Xenopus tropicalis: one gene and its partners. The protein of the gene in region 1 purifies or fractionates together with the protein of each later gene. This does not show direct contact. Links are inferred from orthologs where the notes say so. Each region holds a gene or a part of one and is shown in the gene's direction. Other genes may lie near its edges.

Region 1 (4,499 bases):
TACTGTTCTGCTCTATTGAGAACAACATAAAATTGTTATTAAACTAATAACAATCTATAAACTTGTGCTTTCCATTTCCCATAGGAGCGGCGTGTTGCAGCCAAACAGCTAGAGATGCAAAACAAGCTTTGGGTAAAAGATGAGAAGCTCAAACAACTTAAAGCAATTGTGACAGAGACAAAGGGAGATAAACCAGAGCGGCCACCCAGGGAGAAGGACAGAGAGCCAAGGGTACCTGTCAGATCCATTTCACCTTCACCTGCACCTGTATGTATTACATTGATACATATTTACTCACTAATGAGAGGGTAGGCAATTGCATGTTTGAGTAGTCGCACTGTCTGTAGGTGGTGGGTTTATATTTCACTCTGGTGGTTAAGTGGGGATGTTCTGATGGTTAAATATTCAAAGCTTTGCATTTTATCATGTAACATCTGCATTGGAATGTTGGAAAAATAGGTGTAACTCCCCACACGAGGGGGAAGTACATTTGCAGAAACTGTCTTTTCCCCCAGTTATACCATTTCTATGCCTAGAGCTCAGTTTTTTTTAGAACTTGTCTATTTAACATGTTTTTTTCCAGCTAATGAAATTGTGCTTTGTATTGTTTAACGCTAGTAAATCCCAGAGACAGTGTTGCAGCTCTTGATGGCTGGTTACAAAGCACTGCCTGGTTTACTGTATCTGTGCTGCAAGATGCTAATTTAGTTTGCTCTGAGCTTGGGTTCTTTGTTTTGGATGTGTTGCTAGTCCTGGATTTATCAGCAATCATTTTCATCATTTCATAAGTGTTGCTCAGCCAAATGGTGGCCTGCTGCTTGCCCTTTTATAGACTGCTACCCTGTGACCTGCTTTCTCCTCCCATTTCACCATTTTTTCCCTTCCCTTTTATTTGTTACATATTTGTTAAATCCGCAAGATAGCACTCATTCTGCCCTGCTCTCTCGTTTGTGATAGGCAAGCTCTCATTTTACCAAAGCATAATAATTTAAATAAAGGGAAAGTAAATGATTTTGGCTGGAACATTAAAAGAAAACAGGAAAGAAGTGAATAATGGAGTGCCAATGTAATAAGGATTGTGGATAGCAGTTAAAAGGAGTGTGTATAAGAATGAATATTAGAGACTAAGGAGGGAAAGTTGTGGGTCACAAGTAAAAGGAACCGGGTGAAAGGGAAGAGCAGAAAAAAAAATGGTCCTTGGGGAGAAATCAGAATATGGGTACAGAAAATTGGAAGGCGAGAAAACTGGTCTGGGGAACGAAACACAGAAGCTAAAAGGAGAGAGGGCAGTGGTACATGGTGAGGGAAGGGAGAGGATGGAAAATAACTTTAACAAATAACTTTTAGAGCACTCACAATTAAGTTTTATCAACAATGAAATAATGAAAACCTCTAGTTGTTATGGGTTACTACATTGTGATAAATGTGTTCAGTATTGGTAAATAAGCCCCACTGTGTGACTATTTGTCCTACTGACACTAACCTAATGCTAGGTACAGTCTCTGTAGCTCATCTACTTACACCCATGTATATTATTGTGGTCCCTTGGCCTAGTGCTGTGTTCCTTCCCTTGTGTAACCTTGTGTAACCTTGTGTCTTGGCATGGGGGGGAAGGGGGGTGCCAGGGGGCACTGGGGAGACAGGGCCTCATGCTGTTTCACTGAAACTCCTCCGTTTGTAAAGAGGAGAATGCTGGGATTGCACAGTATACCAGGAGTCCTTCTCTAATAGTTTCCATTTTTTTTCCCCCATGGGGCTTTGCTTGTGCAGTTTTAAAACTACTGCTTCTATTTATTTATTTTTTTAAATTCTAAAGACATGCCTATTGTTAACTGAAAACTGTCAGGTTCTCTTTAAAGGAACAGTAACACCAAAGTAATAAAAATAGAATGCACTGTTGCCCTGCACTGGTAAAACTGGTGTGTTTGCTACAGTAACACTACTATAATTTATATAATAAGCTGCTGTGTAGCCACGGGGGCAGCCATTCAAGCTGGAAAAAAGGAGAAAAGGCACAGGTTACATAGCAGATAACAGATAAGTTATGTAGAATACAATAGTGTTTTATCTGTTATCTGCTATGTGCCTGTGCCTTTTCTCCTTTGAATGGCTGCCCCCATGGTTACATAGCAGCTTATTTATATAAATTATAGTAGACTTTCTGAAGTAAACACACAACTTTTACCAGTGCAGGGCAGCAGCACATTATATTTTAGTTACTTTTATACACTTTAATTTTTTGGTGTTACTGTTCCTTTAAAGGGCAATTAAGGGGCTAGAGATGCTAAGGTTATGTCAAGTCCTCTTATGGCGTAGGCCTGCTGTGCGGCTTCCCATGGCTAGAGATACTGTTCCATATAAGAGTGCCATATGTGCTGCCCCCACTTTTTGGAGTCCCTCCAATGTGTACAATAGAGTTTGAACAAGCTTTAAATACCAATACATATTGGCATATAGTGTGTGTGTATATACATACGAACATATCTTCCTGGAGGATCACATAGATGTGGTCGAAACATTGGACTTTTTTTGGTCCTTTAATATTGCACAGGGATGCTGGCTGTGGGAGTTGGGAGGCGCTATTGTAACCTTAGCTTCTCTTGGGCATTAGTTGCGCTATAAAACTTCATACAATTCTTTATGAGAATCTGCTGAACAAGGCTGGAGGGGTTCCTTACACTGTTAGCTTATTCTAGTCAGGCTATAGTGTTCAGTGTATTTTTTGCCTGCTGTAATAAGCTATTATATGTTTCAAGATATATTTGCTGTTGACCGTATGATACTACTAATTGTATATGAGCAGGACTTAATTTAAAACTTAGTGCATTCCAGGTGCCCCATATATTGCTTTTTTGTGTTGACTAATTGTCTCTGGTCTCTTTAGCTCCTGGGTGACCCAGTTCCCCAGCCCACCCCTGCACGGTTGCAGCTGCACAGGCGCTCAAATTCCTGCGGCAGCCTATCCGTGGCCTCATGTGTCACGCAGTGGGAACAGAGGACACCCCAGCACACCCCTCAGAGCAATGGGTGCTCCAGCCGCAGGCGGAAGGAGCCAGAGGAAGCTAGAAAGAGTAATTCAGCACAGAGCAGGCCAGCAGTTAATGCAGCCAGTCTACAAACAGATCTAGAAGAGGATCAGTGTTTCAGGGTCAGTGAGTAATTAGTCAGTGATTACTGCTGCTTACTGTAGCCTAGTGCATTGCCACTGACAAGTTATGCCTGCTCTATTGCTCTCTTGCCCCATATGCCATGGCATAACTTGATGCAACAGCATCTGCTTTCAATTGACTAAACTGCAGGTCCTTAGTAAATATACAGCTGTGCTTATTTCAGCCGTTGCATTTCTGCCTCCTTGAGGAAAGATCAAGGCAATGCAGTATGTCTTGCTAGAGTTAGAGGGAAGTTACTAGCTTGTTGCTTTGTCCTTTGCTGAAATCAGTTTTCTGGAGAAAAAAAATTGAAAATGATATTCCAGTTCTTTTAAGAAATAATCTGTTCCTCAAAAGCATCTAATTAGTAAAAGTTATGTCCCATGTTAGCCAAGATACTAGTGACCTATTACATCTGCCCGGCCGGCCCTACAAAGACATTTTTATGGCCTTTGGCTGGCTCGGAAGCTTTATGGACTGCTTTATATTCTATCCTTTATGTATAAGCTGGCACACTGCTTCTGACTGTGTAAAACATACTTTACATAGCATCAGTTTATCTTGAAAAAGGAGCTTAAAACATTCGTACACACTGTTCCCTCTCTGTAAGAGCTACAACAAAGATGTAGGATACAAATACTGCACGTTATGTTTGGGTTTCAGTACCAGCCCAAGGCAAGCCCTGCCCTTTAGCAGTGATGCCACGCTTCATCTCTTCTGCAAATTCTTAACACATGCACTGTGAATCTGTCCTTTACCTGAGCTTAGGGGCAGACACAATGTATTGTGTATACATGTATGTAAGTATAGCTATTATAAAAGTCATAATGCAGGACTGATTACTAATTCAGATTCTCAGAAACCAGTGCAATTACCACCAGAAATGAATAATCAGCCCTGTAGCATCCGCTTATATAACAGGCCAACCTCATTTTCTGCTTAGCTGCCCAGAGCACATTGAACATGTGCAGTGTCACTGACACTCTTAACTGGATCATTACTACTAAAGCGATGCTGAACCTTTAGGCTGGTGCAGTAAATTCAGTATATAAAATAATCTTATTCATTTGTAGGGTTTACTCCTTTTTATTTCAAAGCCCCACTTTGAGGCCTGGCATTTTGCCCCTCTGGCTTATAACAAGTTTTCAGATCTATGAGAAGAGACATCCAAGTAGAAGAATATCTAGGCCATCATATACATGTTCACCCTAAATCACCTTCATTTTGCCTTCCAGAGCTATGTGGGGGTGCATATAGTCATTCTACTTAAAATCACACCCTAACTGACCATCAGACTGTACCCCAGTGACTAATGCTCCGTTTCCCACATCCATTGCACTCTGAACAACG
Region 2 (3,154 bases), on another chromosome or scaffold:
TGTCACCACAGGCCTTAATTTTACTTTCTGGTAGCAGTTTTGCTATGTTATTTAAGGAAGCTTTTATGCTTTTAATTGGATTTATGGTTTTTGTCACCAATCTCTGAATGTTTTGGGAGGTTGATTTTTAGGGCTATTCTCCATCCCTGCCTCTGAGCAGGCTATAAAGCAAAGTGTGCCAGGCATGAAGCCATCAGTGTGTACTGCATCCAGAGAACCACAAAACAGAGCAACAGACCAGGTCACAGTAGCAGCCATTAAAATAAAAAGAAAAAAAAAACCTGCACACCATTTTATTGTTGTATTTAAGCACATTCTGTGAATGACTTTTTTTTTTTTCTTTTTACACTGGGAGATGCCAGTACCATTTAACTTATAGATTGAAATTAAATTTCATATTTTTATACTGGGAAACTAACCTGTGTGGTTATGTTGCTCTTTGATTAAAAGAGGGACGTCAGTAAGTTGCCAGTATCGCTGCTATTATAGGATTTCTCTGGAGCCCTATAATAATTTTAAAGATCTAAAGCTTAGCAAAGATGTAGGGTAGAAATGTTGCATATTATGTTGTTGGCTTCTGTTCCAGCCCAAGGCAACCCACAGCCCTTTAGTAATGAAGATCTGTGCCCCCAAATATGCCCCCAGTAGCTCCCCATCTACTTTTCTGCTGATTCACTACACATTCTCTGTGCTACTGAGCTTAGGGACCGACTCACAATATACTGTATATATAGAATGCATGGGTTAATATGCAGCTTTGCCCTGCCTACACTATTCTTTGAGATTTGCAAAATTCCAGGGGGACTTGCCTCCCCTTGCCCCTATTTGTGGACACAAATGATAGAATGTAAAAGTCAACATACAAGGCTGATTAGTTATTAAATCAGGTCTGAAACTAGTGTATTTAGCCAACCCCTAAGCTTAACTTCTCAACAGCTGCCCAGAGTCCACAGAGCACGCGCAGTGTCACTGACACTTATAACAAAATCCAAGATGGGGAGCTCCTGTGACAACTTAAAGGCCTGGATCATTACTGTTGATTTCATTCCTTTAGAGATGCTCAAGCATAAGGCTGGTGCAGCAATTTCAGTATATAAAATATTTATCTCAAAACATTTATAGCTATTTTAAGGTTTAGTTCTCATTTAAGTAATGTTTTCTTATTATTGCCACTGAAATTGATACTAGTATTATTTAGTTGTTTTCCTGGTGATGGTGGTGAAACCATCACTAAAACGATGACTTTCTCTGGTGGACATATGTTAAAGGAGTAATGTCATGGGCAAACATGTTTTTTAAAAACTCATCAGTTAGTTAATAGAGCTTCGCCGGCAGGATCCTTCTGCAAGTTGGAGTAATATCCCCTCTCCTCCCTTTCCCCCCAGCAGCCGATCAGCAGAACATTGGAAAGGTAGCAAGATAGCAGCTCCCAGTAGATATCAGAATAGCACTCAATAGTAAGAAATCCAAGTCTGGCTTGGGACTCTTCCAGTTACATGGGAGTAGGAGAAATAATAGGTTACCTGAAAGCAGTTCTAATGTGTAGCGCTGGCTCTTTCTAAAAGCTCAGACTCAGGTACAATGCACTGAGGTGACTGCCTACACACAAATATTACAGCTAAAAAAATAAATTTGTTGCCATAAAAATCATTGCAGTATCCCTTTTAAAGTGATACTGACACTAAAAAAACTACTCTTCAAAATATGAATGTACTGATAGGGCTGTTTTTTTTAAGTAACTGTTACTTGAAGTTCCTACACCTGATTGTTTTGCCAACCTGACTGTCCCTTCTCAGCCTGTCAGTTATAGCTTCTAATGATAATGGACTCCTGCTGCACAAATATGGCAGCCCCCTCATAGAGGAACATTGGGGATCCGATACGTAATGTAAACGCATTGGGCAAATACTTCTACGGCAAAATTATAAACAGCATGCAAAGAACTTTGGATTTTACACATATACATCTCAAGTTTTTTACATTGATACAAAGGACCTTAAATGGCAAGGATTTTAATGTTTTAATAATAATCATTTTTAAATGATTAGTGGCTTTGGTTTTTTAATCCAGTAGTTCATAGATGTCTAACAAATTGTCTTTTTTTTTTTTTTTTTTTTTTAAACCTTTTACCCTCAAAGCTATCCATAGTGGAAAGACAGAGCTGGACAACTGCGTGTTGCAGTGTGAAACTACTGGAATCACTGTGAAGAAGTCTGCAGAGTTATTGATGAAGTACAGTGATTTATATGGAGCGAAGGTATTGACCATTCATATACATGCACTCATGTGTAATCCTAGTCTGTTACATTGCTAAGCAAGGGGTACTCTTATTTCTTCATATTATATACCTGTCAAGTTCATTCTACTACTTATTCTGTGGCTTTTCAGTGTCTGGGTAAACTGCTTTATGTGGGAATGAAACCACACATGACTGCAAAGCAGGGTGACAGTTAAGAGGAGGCAATGCATGAAGCATACTGAAAAGTTTATTCATAACACCTTTATTTTCTATCACAAAAAAGCAATGACAGTCAGTGCCATTTTAGTGCAGAATTTTTTTTTTTAGTACATAGTTACGTATGACCAATGTGGTAATGTTAGATCTAAGACAACGACACTTACTGTCGATATCCCATAAAATGGCTTTTAGACTATTACAATCTATTCGCTTACTTATATACTTACATACCTTTTATCATCATATTGCAGGGTGCTGGAATGGAAATCTACCCTGGCAGTAAGTGCACCTTAATCGGAAATGGCATACACCACTGCAGAGATGGCATTCTTATTAAGGTATGGGTTTAATTTTAGCATTTGAATATATTTATTAATATTAAAGCATTTAAAATGTAGAGGGCTACAAAGAAGGCTTTTGAACAAGGGATTTTGCACAGCACAACAATGGATATTTATTCTTTGCTTTTAGGACTTTATTGATGTCGTTTATGAGATCCCTAAAATAATCATGGAGAATAATGTCATACATAATAACGAAGGCTATGCAGTTGTCTTGGTAAAACCATCTCCAGACTTTGAGAAGAACTCGCATAATGAGGAACTAAAAGGTAACTAAATTTGTTATTTGGGTCAGTTAAAAATTTCACTAGCAATATTCATCGCATTTTTGTATTGGTTTCTACCAGTATTGACC
Region 3 (4,499 bases), on another chromosome or scaffold:
ACTAGACTTGGTTTTAAACCAACACATTCATGATCAATGTCAGATAAGTACACGGTATATATCATTCTGGCTACTGAACCACTCTGGTTCTCTTCTCTAGAAGTCCTGCAGGAGACTTCAGAGGCAGTATCCCACAGTCATATTTGCTACCATAGTTTCAGCCAGATAATTAGTGACTGCAGCAGAATACTCAATTAGATGATGCCATAAAACCGCATACAATTTTAGCCAAAATAATTTTTGTAGATGAATCGGGGGAAATCATTGCTCAGTTAATAACTGACTCAGCGGCCATTCATAATATCATGGTCTATAGAGTGCTATATTATAGTGCTTTAGGATATTAAATATGTGAAAAGATCAACATAAACTCCTCAAAGCCTCTTTTCTAAAATTTAATACTTGACATTCTCATGATCTTTAACCATTATTTATTTATTTATTTATTTTTTCTAGGGAGACCTGGAAAAACTTATGATTGACTGGGCCGAAAGTAAAAGTATTGGGGATATTATCCTCACCTATGTAAGTTTATTTGAAAATTAATTCTTTTTACAATGTTTTTGCTTACTGACCTTTTTACACTATGCTCAGTGTTTATAGGTTTTTGTCTTAAAAAAAAAAAAATATATATATCTGAATACTTAGTTTGTCAAATATTTTGTCAGATCCCCATATCAGAGTTACACTATAGGTGTATGCTGCATTTAAGTAAGTAGTAAGCTAGAATAGGCATCTTGCATCTTACACAGTTGTTTTGCTTAATGTGTTAAAGAAATACCTTTTGTGTCTTTAGTCTAAAGATCTGGTGAAAATATATCCACCTTTTGTCAACTTCTTTGAAATGAGCAAGGAAATGATTATAAAATGTGAAAAGCAGAAACCGAGATTTCACGCTTTTTTAAAGGTATGTGTGCATTTTATGCAAATGTTTTCTAAATCTTAAATTCTTGTGATGCTTTTAAAAAATGTCTAACACAAATGTCTCCACAAAGTTGAAAGCCCTCACAGCAAGATGGCAAATCAAAAAAAGTCAAAAATGTATTATTCCATGCTCGTATGTGCGCGTTTCCATCCACCAGGGACCTTCGTCAGGATGGTCGTTGTCCCTGGTGGATCGAAATGTGTTTTTAGTGTGATGGTTATCTAAGTGCATTAGCAATGAAAGTCAGTTCAGAATTTCTTGGGGCTAAAAGGAATTTTTATGTATGTTGTCCCCTGGGGAACGGTAAGCATAGTCTGATTGAAGAACAATCCATGGATTTTTACTTTATCCTTTTGCAGTGATTCAAGCCAAATCATGGATAAATAATAATTAGAAAGATTAATGCAGTATATGTTGCTTGGGGAAAATGTGTACCTTCTGCAATATGCACCCTACAAAATCATAATAAAGAGATGTAAGTAAACAGATGGGACAAGGCTGGGTGAATGGAGATCTCCTAAGAGTAGGCCAAAAGTGTCAGGTAATCGCATGAACTATTCATTAGTAGCATGAGTCAGTGACTGAATGGGTGGGAAGGTATTTAAGAGCCTCAAAATCCCTTGCTCTGTAACCTTCCTTGATTAGCACAAGAAGTTTTTGATCATTACAAAGGACCCCCCAATAAACTTGAGAGCGCTTCTTTTAAAAGTTCTCACCTCTTTCGCCCCACTACTTGTACTAAGTTTTGTTTTCTGAAATGCAAGTTTGATAACCCCATTGTTTGTTTTTTTTACAATTGAGAACACCATAACGTGACTTTATTCGTATTAAGTCTATAATAATAAGTATAACTGGTATTATGCTTCTAGATCAACCAGTCAAAGCCAGAATGTGGACGACAAACTTTAGTCGAGCTCCTTATCAGACCTGTTCAACGGTTACCAAGTGTTGCACTTCTTCTGAATGGTAAATTGATTATTCATCTGTTCTTATATTTTTATTACTAAAAAGGTACATAATTAGATTACCAATATTCACCTTGCAAGGACCAAACACAGGGGACCTTAATGGTACTGGCACACCAGGAGATTAGTCAACCATGTTAAATCTCAGCTATAGCTGCAACTGGTTTTCTGCGTATGCCTTTTAACCACCAATAAAGTAAATCGCCAGTGGGAAAAACACATGTGATGCTTCATTTTCGACCAAAGTTTCCTCAAGAGGCTACTTCAGAAAAACAAAGTGCTGTGTATGTTTTCCCACCGGCAAGTCAATTTATTGCTGGATGGAAAGCATTTCAGGGAGATTAGTTGCCCACAGTAGCAAAGATTTGTTGGGGGTGACTAAGCTGCCAGTGTGCCAGTACCCTAAATGTCCCTTTTCAGCTTAAGAACAACAAAAAACAGATTTTTTGTGACTAAAACAATAGGCTAAAAACCTATTCATTGCACTCATGTTGAACAAAAGAGTATATTGCCCCTTTAAGTACAAGTTTACATCTAAACTATTTGGCCAGTTTTCTGAAAAGATAATGTTTTGCATAGAATTGCTGGCGATTTGCTCTGTTCAGTCTTTGAAAGTAACTTGAAACTTTTCTGTTTTTGTAGATCTCAAAAAGCACACAGCAGATGATAACCCAGACAAAGTAATGTTGGAAAAAGCAATTGAATCATTAAAAGAAGTCATGATGTAAGTAAAAGCTTTAAGCGTTGGGCTCTGTGGGGCAGACCTGCAGATGCTGCTGCTCTTAGCTAGGAATTGTTTGTAAAAGCTTAGTTCCCCTTTCCTGAGAAGTGCTTGTGAAGTATCATGGGCATTGCATTTCTGCTCATTTAAAATGGATGTAAATGGACATGTCGACTGCTATGGTTCTCTGAGATCACGGTGGTCTAATGCTTGGGCTTCCATAAACCTGCCTGAATGTCATTTGGCAGCATTCTATGGTAACTGAATTCATTTAACTGTCCCTTATCTCCAGGCACATTAATGAAGATAAAAGGAAGACTGAAGGGCAAAAGCAGATTTTTGATGTCGTCTATGAAGTGGATGGATGTCCTGTAAGTATCAAAGTCTACATGCAGGGGTTAGAACTCATGATTCCAGGAGAACATAGTGTTTTTTTATAATCCATGTGTATTTTAGTGGTACCAAACCTCTTCCTAAATTGTGCTTAGTACAGGGCAAATCAGGCTATACCCATTAAATAGGATCCTTGTATATTATCTGTATGTTCATTTATCTGTGTGGCATTGTATCCTGGCCCATACATTTAGGGATAGACGCAGTACATATATTTTATAAGTTTTTTTTTTTTTTTTTTTTGTTCTAGGCAAATCTGTTATCTTCCCACCGAATTTTAGTGCAGCGTGTAGAAACAATTGCACTTGGTGAAGATCTTTGTGATCGAGGAGAACAAGTTACACTTTTCCTGTTTAATGATTGCCTTGAGGTAAAAAAAAATAAAAATCTTAAAATGAGTGTTATAGGGCATGTTGGAATGGAACATGCTGTGAACTTTATCTGCTGATTTTCAATGTGTTTTTTTTGTTTTGTTTTTAAATTAAATTGATGCCATAAGTGTTTTGTGCACTTTTATAGAAATATATACCTTTTTGTGTGTGTAAAAATTTACGACGGTAATAGTAAATAGAAGAGACACAACAAGCATTTTTTTCCCTGCAGGAAATAGTAAAGATTTATTACTTTTTCATATTAGGAAAGTGGGGAACATTTGCATTAAGTGCCTGTCTAAAATGCTCATTCATTGTACATATTTGTATTCCCTAACTTCATTTATATAACCAGAATTTTCTACACTAAAACGATTCAAACGTACTTAAATCACACTCTGACTTCCATTACCATACTAGAAGATGTACAGTCTCTCATTCATAGCTAAGCAAACACATGCCCATGCAAACACTTGTTCTCACTCAAGTTTAAGCGCTTACAAATGTAAATTCTCAATTACAGGTCCTTTTCAAAAAATTAGCATATTGTGATAAAGTTCATTATTTTCTGTAATGTACTGATAAACATTAGACTTTCATATATTTTAGATTCATTACACACAACTGAAGTAGTTCAAGCCTTTTCTTGTTTTAATATTGATGATTGTGGCATACAGCTCATGAAAACCCAAAATTCCTATCTCAAAAAATTAGCATATCATGAAAAGGTTCTCTAAACGAGCTATTAACCTAATCATCTGAATCAACAAATTAACTCTAAAAACCTGCAAAAGATTCCTGAGGCTTTTAAAAACTCCCAGCCTGGTTCATTACTCAAAACCGCAATCATGGGTAAGACTGCCAACCTGACTGCTGTCCAGAAGGCCATCATTGACACCCTCAAGCAAGAGGGTAAGACACAAAAAGAAATTTCTGAACAAATAGGCTGTTCCCAGAGTGCTGTATCAAGGCACCTCAGTGGGAAGTCTGTGGGAAGGAAAAAGTGTGGCAGAAAACGCTGCACAACGAGAAGAGGTGACTGGGCCCTGAGGAAGATTGTGGAGAAGGACCGATTCCAGACCTTGGGGGACCTGCGGAAGCAGTGGACTGAGTCTGGAGTAGAA
Region 4 (4,499 bases), on another chromosome or scaffold:
TAAGGATGTCAAGTGGTGCCCCAGACCCCCTCCTCTGTTCAGGGATGTTTTTTCCAGTTTTTCATATATGGGCTCTTTCACATCTTTCAAATCTGTCTTCTTGGTCCAAAATAAGCACATTACTGTCCTCAAAAGTGTCCTCTTTGCTTGAGATGTAGATAGACTGCTGAGTCTTGTCCTGAGGAGTTAGCCCTCCTATGTTGGGCCTCTCTTACAGAGAGGTTGTTTTGTCTCCCCAATATATAGATCTGAACACTCTTCACTACACTGGACAGCATAGACCACCTTACTTTTTATGTACCATATATACTTGAGTATAAGCCGATCCGAATATAAGCCGAGGTACCTAATTTTACCTAAGGAAACGGGAAAAACTTATTGACTCGAGTATAAGCCTAGGGTGGGAAATACAGCAGCAACTGCTAAGTTTCAATAATCAAAATAAATACCAATAAAATGACATTAATTGAGGCATCAATTTCAAATTAAAGAATAAAAACAGTTGCTTTAATAAATGTGGAATGTAGTGAAAATGAACTCCCACACCTCAGCGTCCTCCCCAACATCCTCCAGCTCCCCCCTCTGCATCCTCCAGCTCCCCCCACTCAGTGTCCTCCCCAACATCCTCCAGCTCCCCCCAGCGTTCTCCCCAACATCCCCCAGCGTTCTGCGTCCGCTGTCTCTTCTTAGGTCCCGCAGCTGCAGATCTTTTATTAGGTTGCGCCCCGTGCGTGCTGACGTGACACGTACGCACAGGGCGCAACCAATAAAATTACCCGCTGACCACCAATGAGCCAAGGGCCTGTAACTCTTTAAAGGGGCCCGTGCTTAAAAACTGTATCGCTGCCAGGTCCGTCTGAGTGTTGCTGGGTTTGAAAAACACAGGAATGCGATTGAAAAATTTGATTTTTTTTCTTATGTTCCAGCAACATATGGGATGACTATGTTGCTTTGCCTTCTATGTTCCACCCCTCTGTTGGTCTGGTCCTTTTGCTTGACTTTGGTTTTGTTTTAACAAAAGCCCAGTCTGGCTACAAGCTTTCAGAGCTTCTTTTATGCAGCTTGGTTACTATCAAGGAAGCATAAGGTACTGTTTTATTAGGGAAAAAGAAAATCATTTTTAAAATAAGATTTATTTTCTTAAAATAAGGAGGCTGACTTCTGTAATTTGAGCCTGTATACCTGTAGTTTTTTTTTTTTTTTATATATCCATAAGGTTAAATGTGCTATGTGTGTTATGGTCGTAGGCACATAAGTTTTTGTGCTGTTTCTGTAAATATTTTTGTTTCGTATAATTTTTTTTAGGCATTTTTGCTTGGTTTTGTACTAGTTTTTAAGATGTATGGTGTTTATATGCAAGTTTACATTGTAGAAGTTTGTGTATAACCGTCTGTCTGCCTATCTTTCATTTTGCTTGGATATGAGCCTTTTAGAACTTTATGGTTGAGCTTTCTTGATAATTTTGGCCAATTAGCAAGGTATATGATGGGTTTGCTGGAGTTGTGAAAAAGTAGTTTTCAGTTGCTGTTTTAATGGCTTAAAGTGTAGTAGCATACTTGTATATATGGTTTTTACATGTCTGTATTTATGTAAACAGTCCCTGCAAATCTCCCTTGGTCAAAATGTGCTCCCAGAACTTTCGAGTCGAGCACTGCTCCACCTATTGATGCTCCAAGTTGTGATTTTCTACTAATCGACAATTCTTTGCAGGAAGATGGCGACAAACCTGATGAACCTACGCAATCTTTTTGAGCAATTAATGCGGCAAGTAGATGGCCTGAATGAGGGTATAGAGCCACGTAAGTATGCATCCCAAGATGGAAGCTTTGCTGTCTCTGCATATTAGAACTTCGGCTTTGTTGGCTGTAACGTTATTCAATCTTCATGGTAATATAACAGTCGGTTAGCTGAATTTCTTTGTTTGTGGTGGTGTGACCCCCCCATACTGATTTGATTAGTACTGCCTCATTTTAAAACTGGGCACCAAAATGTTGCAAATGTTAGGCACCTCTTAGTGCTTATAATCGCTCACCTAATACCCCGGGCCAGTCTGGGGTACTCCAAAGCAAGCACCATGGGACAATCATTGTCTTCTGTTTCTTTATTCTTCAGTGGCCCAGGCCAGGACACGTGCAGTATAGTGAAAAAGCTGCCCTTCTCCTTTTAAAGTTTGCCTTTTCACTCTACTGCACATGTGCACCCAATGCGAAGGTAAAAATATTGCTCCACATTGCTCGCTCGGAAGGCTGGTATAGTTTTCTGCCAACAGAAGCACCAGCCGGGAGTATCTGGCTTCCCAGCCCTCTGATTTTGCATATTCTTCTGTAAATCTCCCCCCCCCCCCCCCCCCCCAAAAAAAATGACAGAACATGCTCATGTCGATCAGCTTTTTTGAAAACATACATTTTTGTCATAGTATTAACTTTACAGGAAATTTTCCAAAAAATAACTGTAAACTGATATTTCACTTTTAAACTAAATTTATATTGCGTTTCTGTCTAACTTGTATGAGCTAGACATCCTAAATTGCGAGTAAATATAATTGGAAATGCCAACACACTAAAATCAAACCTTTCTTCCTGGAGAGCAATTGATTGTTTGGAACTTAAAAGCGTTCTAGTTTGACAGTATAGCCCTAGGCACAGTTCACGTGTGGTTTTATTTGTGAGTGGTATTGTCATGCTCTTTCTGAATGGTAGAGATCAATCATTGCCTTTTCTCCCTATTCCTTAGAGTTTATTCAGCTGGCTAAGAATTTTGAAGACTTTCGAAGAAAATGGCAAAAATCTGAGCAAGAACTGATAAAAAATAAAGAAATGCTGATGAAGACTGAAACTGAGCGCAGTGCGCTGGAAGTTAAGCTAAAGCATGCACGCAATCAGGTGGATGTGGAGATAAAGAGGAGACAACGTGCAGAGGTGGAATGTGAAAAACTGGTGAGATTGGAGAATTTGTGTGCGACAGTTTTGGGGGAGACAAGACATCAACCTGTGCTGTTAGTAACACCTGTTTTGTCTTATGGTAGGAACGACAAATACAGCTGATACGGGAACTGCTAATGTGTGATCCATCTGGCAGCATTCAGCTCAGTGAGCAGCAAAGAAGTGCTTTAGCTTTTCTTAATAACAGGACTCAAATGTCCGCTGATGGAAATGGCACTAGGAGGTAAATATGAAGCCAGTAACTGCGCCTTGGACTATTGCATGCATAACTGTATTGTAGCAGCAGTAGTAATGCTGTCAAAAACATACAACTATTTTGTTGGCAGTTGAGGTAGCCGTACACGTCCAGGGCAGTTTTCAGCTTTCACCAATCTGTCCCGCCATCTGGGTGCATGTGGCAGTTTTGGAAGACCCCCCCCCGTCACATGGCAATTTACATGCCACTGTCCATTCTTATAACTGAAATATGCAAATCCACATATTAATAAGCACACTTGAACATTATTACTATACACAGTGCATGTATATGTAAAATCTGCTATTAAATACAGAATTGTTGCTACTGAGCTGTAGCAAGAACTAGCTTATAGCTGTGCAAAAATTCAAGTTTAATTCTACATTGCAATGCGTTAGCTAATTTTCCCTGATTCCTCACATTTGTTTAGGCTCTCAACAATAGATGAATCTGCTTCCATTCTCTCAGACATCAGCTTTGACAAGACTGAAGACTCATTGGTAATAAGCCATATATTTTTTAAGGCATTGTTTAAGGCCATTTTGTTTTGGTAGATAGGGATTATGTCAAAGCTGCCTTGGTTTTTATTTTAAAAAATTGTCTTGATCTAACTCCACTATACGGGGTGATGTACGTTAATAGTGTTGGGCAAATTTTTTTACTGTGATGCTTTTAGATGTAATCAGAGGGATACACACTATCATTTGCTTATGTCAAACATGGTGGTTGTTTTTTTCTGGACTCTTATGTGGTGCCATCATAGGAACTGAAGTTTCTTCCAAAGCTGTTCATTATCCCTGAATGGCAAAGATCTGCCCCAGCAAGTCCTTAGGGCAGTGACGCACAGAGATTTGTAGTTAGCGGTATTTTATTTATTTATTTTTTAATTTGAATGCTGGCTCAATCTCCCAACTTGTCCTTGCCCTTAGATTTAAATAAGCCAAGTCTGAAAGGCGTTGTTAGGTTCTTTAGCCATTGAGCCAGGAAACTGTCTCTTAGATATTCAAGATGCGTTTGCGTGTATGTTTGCTACTCTTTCCATCTTTTCCATATATCCTATTTGAGTGTCAATGTTAGTCATTTGTAGCTGTAGGCTAATCATGCGGATTCCATGTTTAGATGACCACCTGGATTATTATGCCTGATGGCAGGTCCTGAGATCATTTTTGTTTATACAGGCTACAGTGTAGAATGCTGTTTAGTGGCAGGCTGCGGTATTCACACTAGTTTGTGTTCCTACTCTGGCCATTTGCCAGGAAATTGGTTTCTAGAGGATAAAAGATGATGGTGGAGATGTGGTCTGGTAATGGTGATATGATGAT

The links.
Region 2: the proteins of kif23 (region 1) and shcbp1 purify together in Homo sapiens (affinity purification with western blotting; 9 studies listed by BioGRID and IntAct, with this or other methods). This does not show direct contact. The link is inferred for Xenopus tropicalis from reciprocal best matches to the Homo sapiens genes KIF23 and SHCBP1.
Region 3: the proteins of kif23 (region 1) and ect2 purify together in Homo sapiens (co-immunoprecipitation; 3 studies listed by BioGRID and IntAct, with this or other methods). This does not show direct contact. The link is inferred for Xenopus tropicalis from reciprocal best matches to the Homo sapiens genes KIF23 and ECT2.
Region 4: the proteins of kif23 (region 1) and racgap1 purify together in Homo sapiens (co-immunoprecipitation; 10 studies listed by BioGRID and IntAct, counting the BioPlex papers as one, with this or other methods). This does not show direct contact. The link is inferred for Xenopus tropicalis from reciprocal best matches to the Homo sapiens genes KIF23 and RACGAP1.

Annotation. Positions count from the first base shown.
Region 1 is NC_030679.2:118,016,429-118,020,927, forward strand, and holds part of kif23 (kinesin-like protein KIF23), read left to right. Parts: intron 1-84; coding exon 85-267; intron 268-2,884; coding exon 2,885-3,148; intron 3,149-4,499.
Region 2 is NC_030680.2:72,872,535-72,875,688, reverse strand, and holds part of shcbp1 (SHC SH2 domain-binding protein 1), read left to right. Parts: intron 1-2,138; coding exon 2,139-2,257; intron 2,258-2,709; coding exon 2,710-2,796; intron 2,797-2,929; coding exon 2,930-3,068; intron 3,069-3,154. UniProt on the Homo sapiens protein: May play a role in signaling pathways governing cellular proliferation, cell growth and differentiation. May be a component of a novel signaling pathway downstream of Shc. Acts as a positive regulator of FGF signaling in neural progenitor cells.
Region 3 is NC_030681.2:110,939,482-110,943,980, reverse strand, and holds part of ect2 (protein ECT2), read left to right. Parts: intron 1-456; coding exon 457-525; intron 526-796; coding exon 797-907; intron 908-1,794; coding exon 1,795-1,891; intron 1,892-2,532; coding exon 2,533-2,614; intron 2,615-2,903; coding exon 2,904-2,982; intron 2,983-3,254; coding exon 3,255-3,374; intron 3,375-4,499. UniProt on the Homo sapiens protein: Guanine nucleotide exchange factor (GEF) that catalyzes the exchange of GDP for GTP. Promotes guanine nucleotide exchange on the Rho family members of small GTPases, like RHOA, RHOC, RAC1 and CDC42.
Region 4 is NC_030678.2:148,521,119-148,525,617, reverse strand, and holds part of racgap1 (rac GTPase-activating protein 1), read left to right. Parts: intron 1-1,710; 5' UTR 1,711-1,714; coding exon 1,715-1,799; intron 1,800-2,733; coding exon 2,734-2,936; intron 2,937-3,025; coding exon 3,026-3,165; intron 3,166-3,607; coding exon 3,608-3,677; intron 3,678-4,499.